2 linked regions of the Diceros bicornis minor genome follow. The protein of the gene in region 1 interacts with the protein of each later gene in a biochemical or structural test. Links are inferred from orthologs where the notes say so. Each region holds a gene or a part of one and is shown on either strand. Other genes may lie near its edges. The genes, in order: FYB1 and SKAP1.

Region 1 (3,919 bases):
CTACTAGGTAAAGGCAGTAGTCCTTACAAGATCTAGAAATTTGCAACCCCAAAATAAGGAATCAGTTGCCTTTCCTTTGCAATAGGAAAGAAAGATGATTTTCTGCCCTTGAAATTACTTTAGTATCAGGCCATATATTCAAAATAAAGGAGATAATTCCGTGTACCAGAATATGTTCAAAGAGGTACTACGGATGATTGGTGTGAAATCTGACTACTGGGGATCAAATACCATGCCCTTAATATCTCCTTCATCAATGTGAGAGACTGAGGCATCTGATGCTAACAAATATTACCAAAAAGTTAATTGACATGTACTTTATATTTTCAATGAAGTGAATGACATCCTATCATAAGCTTATGAATATTGCCACTATTTAAATGTTGATGAGATAGATTTAAATACATTTGGAATTGTTGATTAAAATTATCATGATCCTTCTGTTCATTTTAAGATTATAGTGATGTTTTTAACAAGTACTATGTACTTAAAATAGAAAAGTCAAAAAGTCAGCAAAGTACAAAACAAGAATTATTTGTAATAATATCTCCATCCAAGTCAACCACTGTTAACATTTTAGAATGGGTCCTTCATTCATAGATAGATAGATAGATAGATAGATAGATAGATAGAAGATAGGTCCACAAATACCGATTTTGTAGAAAACAGGTTAATAACGCACATAGAATTTAATATCCAGGCACTTTTTAAAAAATTGTGTTAATCTTGCAGACTTCAAAGCATCACCTGTACCTGTTCTCATATGATTAAAGTGTGATAACTGGATAAACCTGGCCAGGTATACAAATGCTCTGCGGGCTGAGATAATATGCAAATAATCCTTACATATCAATGTGTGAAAGCTGGACAGACCACACAGTTCAAAAAAGGAAGTACGCTCTGCAAAACTAACTTGCACATTCACTGTCCGAGTTACAGCATCTTCGAGGTCGCTGTGTGCCAGGCATATCAACTCTTTTCAAAAAAAATGGTAAGTAATAGATTTTATGACTTTCCCTGGTCTGGCAAACATCTAACCTTCTCTACACGGAGCAGAGAGGGGTGGGGGGTGCTACACTGCCAGGTCCTCCCAGCGTTTGGAATTTTTCTTCTTCCCATTGTTCCATTTGCTAATGAAGCTGCTGAGTCTATCACAGCAGTTGCAAGACTATGGCTTCAGGAGTTCCCTTTTTTGTTCGAAGCCTTCAGAACTGAGGAAGAGCTATGCCTTAGAGAAAGAAAAGTTGTATTCTTTGTCTTTGCCTCTTGAGATAACTGGATGCCAGAACCAGCAGTCAAGTTTCCTGTTCCGAGCACTTTGGATCCCAGAAGAGAACTCCAGTGATATACGTGGGGCAGTATTGCTGATGATGAGAGCCATTTTGACAACACAGTACATTTTACAAAGGAGCTCTTTTGTTTAAAAAATTCATTTCATTATTTTAATTAAGAGAAGCAAACAAAGCCCAAATAGTCCAAACCTTAAGGACGGGTTGTGTTCCCAAAGTTAATTGAAAGTCATTATCTGGAGCACACTTAAAATAGTGACTGGTTTCCCAGTTCCCATAAAAACTAGCTTAACTCATAATGTAGCTGAACTACAGTGTTAATATTCTGCTACACAATTTCATATTCTTTCTCTGTAGAAACTGGCTGTGTTCTTCTACATGCAGTGTTCTTATGCTCCCAGAGTCTAGAAGAGAGCCAACTTTTATCTCCCACACTCCCTCCCCCACTCCCCAGCCCCTAGAAGACTGGAGACGGGTTATCCTTTCTCTCCTTGTAGAGAGGATTACTTCCTTTGCCAGTTCCCAGTGAGAAGATAGCATTGAGACAATGACTCCTACAGGGACTCAGTGGGGGAGGGTGTGTGTTGCAGACAGTGGAATCGAGAGGGCAAAGGATTCATGGGATGTGTTTGTAGTCTGGAAGCTCTTAAACCAGAATGGGGAAAGTGTAGAGGTGAGGATAACCTTGCCATGGGGGAGAGAGGGAGAAGGGGGAGAGATGGGGTCAGAGTTGCAGAGTCACAGGGGAGAGGAATGCACAGTGGTGGAGGAAATTGTAGCACATGACCCTTCCTGTAGCCACATCTGTAAGAGGAAGGCAGCCATCTGTTAAGGTGGGACTTACAAGTCCCTCTAGTGTCTCCAAACTGGGTCTTTAGGTCCAGAATTCTTAGCAAACAGCTTGACCTTAATTACTGATATCATCTTCAAAAGTAAACAAGGGCACTGTGGTTTACAAAGAGTTATTTGGATTTTCTTAAGGAAAATGAGATGATCATAGCAGAAAAAAAAAGTTTAACTGAATAGGGTATGTTTGGTAATACGTAAGCAATGTTTTCTTAAGAGCTCGTCATCTTGTTATAAAACTAGCACATATTATTAAAGAAAATTTCTTAAAAATATAGATATGCAGAAACAAAACAATACACATTTTCTATAGTTCCATCACCTAGGGGGCAATCATTGTTAATACAGATCCTTCTAGAATTTCATCATTTTTAAGTATATTTTATAAATATAATTTTCTATAAGTGCTATCATACTTTATAAACCATTTCCTTATCTGATTTTTTATGTAAAACATTTTGAATAATATATGAGTTAGATATCATTTCTAATGATAAGTCATTCTTAATGACTATGTAGTTTTTCCATAATTTAATTTAATCAGTTCCATATAGTTAGACATTTAGGTTTCATATTTTATTTTTCTTTCTGTATGGTACTACGACAAGACTGTCACAAGCGTTCTTTTATATACAGTGCCTGATTATTTTCCATTGACAGAACTACTAGGAGAAGAGCTAAGTGAAAAATACATCTATTTAAGATTTTAAACACAGATATCCTCTTGTTAAACAATATATTTCAAGTTTACTTACTATATAGTGGCATGGTAAGTGAATTTCCCAGTTGCAATTATGTATATACATGCTTATCTTTGTAGCATGTCCAAGTTATACTTAAAGAGGAAGCAGATTTCCCTTAATTTTTCTCTCCCCAGCATTGCTTCTGACATTTCTATGACAGGTTGTGAAAGGCATGTAGCATATTAAGAAAGGTGTTTTCTCCTTGAAAGGCTTCATAGCACAGTCAAAAGGCCATGTGCCTGGCTCCTTAGGCTTTGCTTACCAGTTGTATGTTTTTTTCACAAGTCCCTTAAGCTCTGAGTTTGTTTCCTTATCCAATAGTGGTGACATGATGATGATGCTGATAGTTACTGTGGAACAGTGTCGTTGTAGAGGGTAAATAAGATTGCAATTATAAAGTACCTACTATAGTGCAGGCACCAACCGGATACTGGATAAATATTGGTGTCCGTCGTTCTAGTCCTCAAAAAATAATTTCCTAAGGAGGCATAGAGACTTCCAGTGAACACAGGAGGAGAATGATAATGGCAGTTAACATTTGTGAGCCCTGACATACACTGTCTCGTTTAGTCCCCATAACAACCCTTACGAATCGTGACTGCTCTTATTCCTATTTTCTCGCTGAGTACACTGAGTCTTGGAAACGGTTAAGTCACTTGCTCACAGTCACACAACTATTAAATATTGGGACTGGAATTTGAGCACAACTCTGTCTGATCTCAGAGCCTGAACTTTTCTACCTTATGCTGCATCTGAGAAAAAGTAGGTACAGAGGAAGACAACAGCGTAGTCCAAGAAAAGCCCAGGCCTGGCTTTTAGGAGTACGAGGGGCCTTTCCTCAGGCTGGTGCCCGTCCCTGTTGGATTTGGGAATCAGCTGCGTAGCTGCTTCTGCTACTGCCACTATGAATTGTCCTATTTTTAGAATGCTCACTTTATTGAAATCTTCTAGAAGCCACTGGGATGGGAGGCTGGAGGAGTTCCTGGCTTTGAAGTTCTCTACCCCAGGGTTCAGAAAGAGGGACTAAATGATCAAATGGCT
Region 2 (3,919 bases), on another chromosome or scaffold:
TTTCAGTAACACAGATTCCTAGAAATGGGGTTTCTGGGTCAAATGAGACATTTTTAAATGTTTAAAAATTTATCCTTAAATAAAATTAATTTTAGACCTTCAGAATTTCTGTTCCTTTCTTCATTATGCAAAATATTGGCATAAACCTTTCACAATGCTTTGCATATTTTATTTTTAAAAGCACACACATTATGTCAAAAAATGCCCCTGTCAGTTATGCTTGTAGTTATAAATTAAAAAATGCTTAAGTTATGGCTGTGATGGCCAGCGTTAAATCACTGTGCAAATGCTCGTGCCTTAGTTTATGAAAGTAGTAATTCATTGTGGAAACTCCACCCCCACGGCCATGTGGCAGCACTAAAGAGGCAGCTCTCTCACCCTGTGACTCCCTCCACTGAGTGACAATATAGAGATCAGGACCTACATATTTTCTAATTGTCAACAGTTAACCTTAAAAAGTGTGTGGGGGAGGAGACAAGTAAACAGCAACAGACAATAAACTGATAGTCATTATGGGTTTCTAATATCCACAAATTATTTGCAGTACAATGAATAATTCTGCTGGTCTACACCACAGACTGTATTCCATAAAAAACAAAACCTATAACCAATATGTTGCTATGATTACATGAACCTTTCAAAAACATATTCTTCAAACACTTTTCAATAGAATTATTGGTCGAATCCCCTCTTTACATTTTTTCCTCTGCTTCAGATTCACTCTAATCGCAAACTTTAAGAAAAGGCCTTAAAGAAATACATTAACCAACCAACAAAGCTCATGAAAATTTAATCTCAGACTCCTCTATATATTCTAAAGACCCAAGAACCTACAGACATTGTTAAGACACAGCAAGTTTGATACAGAAGTATGTGACATGCAATTAATCTCCATTCATACCCTGCTCCACTTGTCAGCAAACAAAGGTTCTGCTTTAGAAGGAGATCTGAAGACTTCAATTAAAAACAGTCAGCTAACAAGAAAATAATCTAAGCTAAAGGAAGGTGGCAGGTGCAGAAATGAGTTGTTTACCAAAGTGTCAGTTTTGAACAATAAAGAACTGCACATCAAAAATGATGAAGGAGTGGATTTCATTGCAAGCCTCTGGAAAGAAAAAGGAATTTTCTACCAAGGCTGCACACAAAACGGTAGTATAGTTTAACAAGCTTGTAAAATAGGTTTCCTCTCATCAAATGACAGATACCAATAAAAAGAATCACGTTATATCTTTAAATGCAAGGGCAGAATTACACTTTTTGCCAGTTCCTTCTCTTCTGGAAACCAGACACTTACAGCCTCTCTTTACATATCAAATATTGAACCAATAGCAGAAGGAAAAGTTGGATTGCTTCTTCCTAGACACCCAGATGATGCTCTTTTACCCCGTAAATACTTTTCTCCTCTGGAAGTTTAGATTTACTCAGGTCATAAGTAAAATGGATTTTGGAAACTTCACCTCAAAAGAAATACCTAGTTGACAGCTTTTACATAGAAGCAATCCAGAATGGAAACAGTGCTACAAACAGAGACCAAAAGGACTTGCCAAATATTTGATTAGGAGGCATTTATACCAAGATAACAAGGTAATGGAGATATAAAACCAATTAAATTGAGAGAAACTGAAAAAAATATTGCTTGCCAAAAGTATGACCTGCCCAAAGCAGGCCATCTGTTAAATATGTGTCAAAAATGTCACTTAGATGCCAAAAGGCTTAACTCTGAGCAGCTTCCTCCGGGGACCCTTATGCAAGCACAGATTCCAAGTCTCTGTCCTTCCCAGAAGGTCAGTTACAGGAAAGCAAGTTACTTTCACCAGAAAAAGTGTGAACCGAGCAGACGATATTGCCCATTAGCTAGAAGTCTCTTTGGAGTGTCAGAAGAATGTGTGGATTGTCAGTGAGCATGGCCTTAACTCTTAAAAGGAGTGCTTAGGCACTGTAGTTTGAAGGTGAACACACCACAGTGGGGCACTTCTAGAAAAGTAAGAAATGTAGTACTGAGTATCAGCCTGCCCTGGGTGGATAACAAGACCCTAGAAGTCTTCCGGCTGGTGACACAGGCGTGGGGTGTCGGCGCTGACAACTCACAACTACCCCCAGGCCTTGGCCCACAGGATGCCATGAGCCCCTCGCAGCCCCTCGAGAGCCTCAGGGAGCTCTAAGCAGAAGGTGAGGGTCTTCCGTGAGAGGTGGCGGGGTCAGGGCTAGGGAGGGCGGCGGGTGAAAACCCCCAGACCTAGGGGGAGTCCGGAGGAGAAAGGGACAGGCTGAAGACAGCAAGGTGGCAGAGAGGACCAGGAACCTGTCCTGGACTTGTTCAGAAGCCAGGGAGGTTAAGTGGAACGCCTTGAGGGAAAAGAAAGCGTGGAACTGAGCGGAGTGAAAGGGCCCCTGAGGCGGGAGGATGAAAGCCTGGCTTTGCAGGGTAGAAGACTCTAGAAGCCTTGAGGTTCTAGAAGTTGGTGAGTGATGGAGCTGAAAAGACAGCCCGGCCTCGGGAGCCCCTGGCGTCTCCTTTCCTCCCTTCGGCTCAGCACTTGGGGGAGCAACCGGACGGTCGGGGAGGGGGCCTGGCCCCCGGGCAGGGGCGTTACCTTGCATGAGCCAACAGATCTCCTCCGGGAGGACGGCGGCGGCCTGCATTTGGCGGGGCGGTGGGGAGGCCGAAGTGGGAGGCGGGAGGGGGCCGTGAAGGCCCGGTGCCGAGGTCGGCGGGCGGGCAGGCGGCGGGTTGCCGGCGGAGGCACCTGTACCTCTGTCGCCGCCGCCGCGGGGCCGAGCCGCAGGGCGGGGCCGGGCACCCGGGCGCGCTCAGGAAGTGGCGCGCGCGGCGGGCGGGGGGCGCCCGGGGCGTGGGGGCCACCTGTGCGCGCGCCACTCGCGCCGGTGCACTGAGGGGGGGCGCCGCATCATGCAGGGCCAAAGCTGTGTCCCTCCAGGACCCGCCCACCAAAACAAAAGACTTCACGCGACTCAAAGGGACCTCGTCTCTTGGAGACTTCCCATCCGAAGCACTGGACGTCGGCCTCAAGGGGCAGGTTTAAAAGCCACCGTGGTGCACTAAATGGGGCGCGAGGAGGCAGAATCCGAGGAAGAGATTAGTGCCTGCCCAGCGTTGCAGCACTCAATTCCCAGTCCAGTTCGCACGTCCACGCCCAGAAAACCAGGGTAGAACGTTCGCTATCTCAGGCAAACCACGATGTTTAAAGGGAATGACCTTAAATCTCCATAAGTAATGTAAACCCACCAATTCTGGGAGAATCAGAGCTGCATGGCTGCAGTGGACACGGGAAGCCCAAGTGTCCCGTCCTCCCTAAGGCTGAGAGGATGTGAGGACAGGAAGGGGTAACCTGGGGAGAAAGCTCAGGGAGAGGGGAACGGAGCCCTTTCCCCCTCAGAGCTGACAAAGAGAGGAAAGTCAAGGGCAAGATCACAGAAAAGACCTCCCCCTCTCATTCAGGGGACAGCAGGGCTCAGTGTCGTGGTTGTGCTATGGTGCTGCAATACTGCGAGATGTTACCACTAGGGGAAACTGGGTCAAGGATAGACAGGATCGCTCTGTATCATTTCTCATAACTTCTGTGAGTCCACAATGATCTCAAAATAAAGAGTTTACTTTTTAAAAAAATACAATAGGCCAAGTGCCACGAAAAAGGAGTAAGGTGCAGTGGGCAATAAAATGAGGGAGGTGAATATAAGAAAAGGAGGGAGAGGCCGGTCTATGTGTATTTAACAGTGCATGTGGCTTTTGAGGTGGGCTCTGAACACACCAGACTTTGAAGGGGCAGGAGGGCTTTCCAGGGGGAAGGACCAGAGTAAACAAAGATGCAGAAGCCTTCTCCTGCTTGAGGAATGGCTAATAACCCTCTTTTACTGAATGGTGTAGGGAAATTATGGTTGTCAAGAAAAATTGAAGCTC

What was found.
Region 2: the proteins of FYB1 (region 1) and SKAP1 form a complex in vitro, tested with the Homo sapiens proteins (2 studies listed by BioGRID and IntAct, with this or other methods). The link is inferred for Diceros bicornis minor from reciprocal best matches to the Homo sapiens genes FYB1 and SKAP1.

What each region holds. Positions count from the first base shown.
Region 1 is NC_080759.1:30,295,691-30,299,609, forward strand, and holds the start of FYB1 (FYN-binding protein 1), read left to right. Parts: upstream 1-934; 5' UTR 935-988; coding exon 989-991; intron 992-3,919. UniProt on the Homo sapiens protein: Acts as an adapter protein of the FYN and LCP2 signaling cascades in T-cells. May play a role in linking T-cell signaling to remodeling of the actin cytoskeleton. Modulates the expression of IL2. Involved in platelet activation.
Region 2 is NC_080757.1:37,530,984-37,534,902, reverse strand, and holds the start of SKAP1 (src kinase-associated phosphoprotein 1), read right to left. Parts: upstream 2,759-3,919; 5' UTR 2,644-2,758; coding exon 2,595-2,643; intron 1-2,594. UniProt on the Homo sapiens protein: Positively regulates T-cell receptor signaling by enhancing the MAP kinase pathway. Required for optimal conjugation between T-cells and antigen-presenting cells by promoting the clustering of integrin ITGAL on the surface of T-cells.